Saccharomyces cerevisiae S288C: one gene and its partner. The gene in region 2 interacts genetically with the main gene of each other region. Each region holds a gene or a part of one and is shown on either strand. Other genes may lie near its edges. The genes, in order: PRP3 and YFL041W-A.

Region 1 (3,800 bases), on a different chromosome or scaffold from region 2:
CTTCAAAGTCATATAGTGTGAGTTCTGGTAATAAGGATTCATCTTTGAGGAAAGTCAGTAGCTCATCTTCGCTCAGAAAAGTAAAATCTAATGATTCGAACTCTGGTAAACGTATTAAAAAACCGGTCGTAACTTCAGCACACTTGAAACCAAGCTCAGGCGGTGGTGGTTTATTCTCTTTTTTTAAGAGTAAATCGAGATCCCCGTCATCTTTCAGAAAGGAAGATGAGAGTAAAAATACGCCTAAGCGTGGCGGATTGTTTGGGTTCGGAAGGCTGTAGTTGGTCTTACGTTCTTATGTGTTTATTCGATATAATTCTATAACATTTTTATGACTTTGTGCCTTTATGCATAACATGTATTGTACATATTAATCGACAAAAATGACATTCAATACCCTACACTAGTAATTAATAATGCTGCAATTCCATCATCGCATTCTCACCTAAAAGAAATGTGGACAGTGTTCATTATAAGCTGGGTTCCTATTCGTATTTCCGGCAATAATGCGTGCTAAGTGAGTTTGTAAAATCGTTAAAATGAGAATCAATGTACAAGGTTAGTATCACGTCAATTCTTTCAAAGCTTTATATTATTAGGTATACCTCCTTTGAAAGTAGCACCAGTCAAGATAATGGATCTTTATCCATAGTTATTGCAATTACTTTCAAAGCAATGCGGTTGTTATTGTTGCAAAAATATTGCAATATTAACTTCTTAGGAATGGTGAATTGAATTGTGTCGTAACATACGCTGTAACCCTTGTCTTTTGGGTTTAGAATGCGGAAATGAAAAACGTATAGAACATGATGAATCTACGAAGTGCAAGGTCCACGAAACAAGACAGTATCGTTGCAATTCAGTGAAATCCTTAAAATGGTTCAAATATAGATACTGGCTATCTTTTTCATTATATTGGCTTCTTTGACCTGTCACAATTATAGGGTTCAACAGTTATCTTTGGAGGAAGAAGCTGCTCATTGATGAGAAACAGGATTTATGGAAGAGAAGTCACATTCGTGAAAGGCACATTCATCAAGAAATTTTATTTTTTCTTTTGTGCTTCCCAAATTTACTGCCATACTACTCCATTTTTTGACAGCTTATTCATTTAAGAATACGACCTAACAATAGTATTCCGGAACTTTTTAACAATATCAATGACGACTAAGAGAAAATGACAACTGCAGGGAACAGATTTTAGATTTGAAAAAGCCATGACATGATACTACTATGTTCTAGATGTGTTTTATCTCCTTTTCGGTAGCATTTTTTTGGTAATTATCTAGTACGAGAGGTGACAAAATCTGTTGTTCTCCTTTAGGTTGTCGTAGTCAACTTTTTTTGTAGGAAAATTCTTGCAAGTACCCTGAAGTTATGTATGATGCAAGTCTATTGATTGTAATCAATAAGTTTTTCTAGCTCTGGCTTGCTATGTAACGTAGTGAACAATCAATGTTATCGAAAAAGTTTAGGTAAAATTCTCGAAAATGAATGCTGATAATTACTTTTTCTTCACTCCCCAATTTTGGATAATACTTGGCAGCTATATTCGCGAAACAGGAAGGTTAAAAACTGCTTCTCCAATGAAACAGTAGTTAACATATCCATTTAGCTAGAGATACTGCTTTTGGCCTCTGGACAGGCACTGTGAATTGTTCTTATATGTTCTAAAGTAAAGAGCCATGACTCAAAGAAAGTTTCTTGACTATGTTAATTTTTTTAGCATACAAATTTTAATATTATTCACATCTGCGTTTTTCTGACTGGATCCCGCACTGATCAATAACAAGAAATAGTCCTAGTAAAGTATTAGAATGCCAGATGACGTAAAACAATCAAAAAGACTCACAGAAAACATCAGGCGATCTATTGAATTGGCTTGAAAAAATGCCCCCAAGAAATACCTATGAAAAAGGTAATCCGAAACGCCAAAATAGTCCATATTATAAGCCAAGTTTCTTACGGCGTGAAGAAACTACCAATGATGAGGAGAAGTTTCAGGGCCATGGTCTGAAAACCGAACTTCACTCAGCGTTAAAGTCTTCAAATTTGAATCTTATCCGAAGAACTTATCAAACTGGTGAAAATCCCTATCTTAGTGATCCACACGATCGAGGCTCATCGAGCAGATTTAACAGGCGTTATGAACGGGGTCTGAAGTTTTACCAAAAGGGAGAAATCAGTAAAAGAATTGCCCAAGAAAGAACATTACAAAAACAGCAGGAGGAGGAAGAATTAAAAAGAAAGTTAAAACAAGAAGAAGACGAGAAAGATAAAAGAAAATTAATTGAGTCAGGTGATTTACCCAATTTAGAGTTACATGAGGATAAGTTCCTATTAGATTTGTCAAAGTTCAAGATATACTATGATAATAATCATGGCTATGAATGGTGGGACACGGCTTATTTAGATGAAAAGGGTGAGTTGATGGAAAAATATGACATGAATGGCACATCGCCTGCCGAAGAAAAGCTAGCAGAAGATATTGATGAAGTAGACGATGATGATGATGATGAGCACCCATCTATAAGATATGTAGCACATCCCTTACCTGAAAAGATCAACGAGGCAAAAGTATCAATCAAAGCATATCTAACGCAACATGAAAGGAAAAGATTAAGGAGAAATAGAAGGAAAATGGCAAGAGAAGCACGGGAGATAAAAATTAAGTTAGGACTATTACCTAAGCCTGAACCGAAAGTTAAACTAAGCAACATGATGAGTGTTTTCGAGAATGATCAAAACATAACGGACCCAACTGCCTGGGAAAAAGTAGTGAAAGACCAAGTGGACCTCAGGAAGAGAAAACATCTGGAAGAAAACGAAAGAAGACATGAAGATGCTATTAAAAGAAGGAAAGAAGCAGTCAATATGAACGTTGAAAAGCCGACAGTATACCATTGTAAGGTGTTCCAGTTCAAAAACTTACAGAACCCAAAAATAAGATTCAAGTTGAAAATGAATAGTAAAGAACTATCACTAAAGGGTTTATGCCTCCGTATACGTGATGACGGACCAGGAATAATTATAGTCGTGGGTAACGAAAAATCATGCAAATTTTATGAGAATTTGGTGATGAAGAGGATAAAATGGAATGAAGATTTTGAGTTGCACACAAACACTGGGGATATAAAAATGGACATGCATAATAATTCAATATCAAAAACTTGGGAAGGCTATTTACAAGATTGTAAATTCAAAGGCTGGTTTATGAAAGTATGCAATGATCAGGATTCTTTATTACGTACGCTGGGTCAGTTTGATTCAGAGCATTTTTATTCACCTGTTCAAACGTGATATCGGTGTCTACAAAATGATACGCTTTGTTTCATATTAAATATTATTTTACTGTATGTCGCCCAGAATAATGATTTTTTTAGCACAAAAACATTCCAAAATATAAAAAGAAAATGATTTTATATGATAGATGTACTTCAAGGAAATCGACAATTAAAAGAATCATTCTTCGTAATGAATATATGAGCATATGTCTATAAATCAACAGTAAATATACAAACTCTTTATCCTTTTCTTGGTTTTAGGTATTTACCGATGTTTTGAGATGATATCAGCCAAATCTCAAACCTTCCCTGTCAAGCACTTGCCTGTCAAATTGGATCAAATAAACGGTTCGTTGACTATGTCCGCCTTGGGGCATTCGATGTGCTGTCACGCCACATGGAAATCCAGCATTGAAAAGGAATCCTTTGATAATGCCGCAAACGAAGTACTCACAAGAAACGTTCTCACCTGGGATAAATTGGGTTAAAGTGGGGAAGTTATCTACTATCATATAT
Region 2 (2,612 bases):
ATTATTAAAAAGAATATTTTGAGGAATAGGTTCAGCACCGGTTGGATTATATCTTGACAGAAACTCTTTGGTAACCGTTTTATAATTTTCGTGATAATGGTCCGATAGAGTGATGACTCGTTCATGATCATATTCGAAGGGCTCCTCCGGATCGTGGATGATAAATGCACCCCTCATACCGTCACCGTACTGGGCACCCATGTGTGCATGGTACCAGAACGTTCCTACCTGCTCTGGGACAGTGAAGTTGTACAGGTATGTTTGTCCCGGAACGATGGGACATTGTGTCACCATAGAAGGACCATCCATTTGAAGCTGGTTCCCCAAACTCGTATTCTGGAAAAGACCATGGAAATGTAGAGAAGTAGCAGTATTGTCTTGAAAGCCGTTAGTCAAATAAAGCTCAACACGATCTCCTTTTTCAACATGGATATCTGGAAGTGGCCATTCGCCATTAAAACCAATCATCCTTTTTTCATGCAATCCATCAGGATTGGCAGTTACCCAAGAAGCGGTATAGTTTAACTTATGTGTCTTTGCCAAAGCAACACTAGCGGCCAGTACAGACCACACGAACGAGTAGAACAACATCGTTTCTTGTCTTCCTGTGCTTGATTCTTTCTTCTTTCATTCGGAACTCTTTTTTTACGTCTTCGTATTTTCTGTGATCTTATATAAAAATGTATGTATTATAAGAATCGATGGCGAAACAGGGTGCAGACTGAATACAAAAGCCACAAAGTAATAAAACAAGAATATTAAAAATATTTAGATACAGTTCGATAAATTCTATAAACACCTTACCTATCTTAGCTTGAGCAGCTTTTTTGAAAGGAAATCAACCAGTAGCCTATCGGTAATCAACTCATAGACATTAATACAATCCCTAGACATCAAATCAATGGCCAAGGAGTAGTCACCATCGTCATACTTGAATTTCACTTTATATGTAATCTCTCTGAAGGAATCTCGTTGGGAGGGTCCCCACATTTTCATTCGAGGGGTGGATATCAACCTACTTAACTGTTCCACCGTTCTTGACACATTTTAGCATATTCTCAACGCTCTTTTGAGTACCTGAGGACTCGAATCCATCAGGCTTCCTTTTTTTCTGATTATAGCAGTTCTTCATAGCGTTTATAAACTGTCCATTTTGCTCTTTCTTGGAATCATGTGTACTCATGAACACCAAACCCTCTGAGTACCGCACCCGCCAGCAGATCAATTGTTCCAGCACCTATAACTACAGCTTACTCCCCACACTTCAGCTAGGACGGCCTTACTACATGGAGAGCGACAAATAGTGGCATCTACAGAGGACTCTTGCTAGAAATTCACTGTAACGGTAATCAGTAAACGCAGTCGACGTTAACCACGAACTCTTGACAAAGGGTGCCGTCACGGTCAGTGATGCAGCAAATGGTATGTTGAGCTGCAAACTATAATGGCCTCACAGAAACTCTTTGGTAAACCTATTTGGGTATGAGGGCTATATGCTTACTGCATCACCCGCTTTACAGTAGTTTGAGATACTTCAATTTCAAGAACAGCACCGTTGGATTCGTGGCCCAAAGTCATGGGCTTCCCAGGTTACTTTACGCTGACCTGGCCATCCGTGTAGTAGTGAATGTCTGATCCGCAGATTCCAATAGCCTTCACTTAAACTTTGACCTGTGACATCACGTTGGCTTGGCAACTTTCTGAATCTCTTTCATGTTTGGTTCAAAACATTTGATAGCTTTCTGCATTGTGTTGAGTGGAGGTCAGAAGGTCAGATATTACCAATTACCGTCATCCTCAATGTCACTCATGATAGAATGTTTGCTTTATGTCTGAGATCAGAGAGATCGCGTATCGCTGAGCAGGGGGACTTGTTTCTCCCACCCTTTTTCATAAAGCATCTTGACAATTATATTAAAACACTCAACCATTTCGCTATCTGAGAAAAGGGTGAAGAAGGCAACTACACAAAAAGATTAGTGGTGATGTCGGATGTAGATAACTGGGAACCCGTATCAGATAATGAGGACAGTACTGATTCTGTGAAACAATTGGGTCCCCCCTTTGAGCATGCAAGTAACAATGACAATGCCGGCGATACTGAAGCTGAGTCACTGCAAGAAGTGCCCCTAAATACAGAGACCAACGACGTACGCAAGAATTTAGTAGTGATTACAAACCAAAGTGCCGCCGATGAACACCCTACAGAGATCAAGCACGATCAATCAAGGACTTCTTCGACGTCCTCGTTCTTCAGTGGAATGATCTCTTCGTTTAAGTCAAACGTGCCATCCCCAGTTTCTAGATCAACTACGCCAACTTCGCCAGTTTCGCAACCAAGCATTATATCACATAGAAGGGAGCCTTCCATGGGGTCCAAAAGAAGATCAAGCCGCCGTATCAGTAATGCCACAATTGCTGAAATAGGCTCTCCCTTGCAACAGGTGGAAAAGCCTGATGAGGTCAAGACAAGACTCACTCCTTCCCAAATGAAAGAAGACAATTACGATCATAGACGATTCGTGGAAGAACGTTACATGGACACACCTTATCACTATGCGTCTGAGCAAAGAAATAAAGACTTTCATGAGACATTCAAGTCCGTTCCTAAA

What was found.
Region 1: mutations in YFL041W-A (region 2) and PRP3 together harm fitness more than expected from each alone (negative genetic interaction), as found in Saccharomyces cerevisiae (one large-scale study listed by BioGRID).

Annotation. Positions count from the first base shown.
Region 1 is NC_001136.10:1,403,945-1,407,744, reverse strand, and holds PRP3 (U4/U6-U5 snRNP complex subunit PRP3), read left to right. Parts: upstream 1-1,890; coding exon 1,891-3,300; downstream 3,301-3,800. Other genes in the region: JIP4 (Jip4p), read left to right, coding at 1-281; TRAPP subunit TRS31, read right to left, coding at 3,572-3,800.
Region 2 is NC_001138.5:47,118-49,729, reverse strand, and holds YFL041W-A (uncharacterized protein), read right to left. Parts: upstream 997-2,612; coding exon 805-996; downstream 1-804. Other genes in the region: ferroxidase FET5, read right to left, coding at 1-591; LAM5 (Lam5p), read left to right, coding at 1,986-2,612.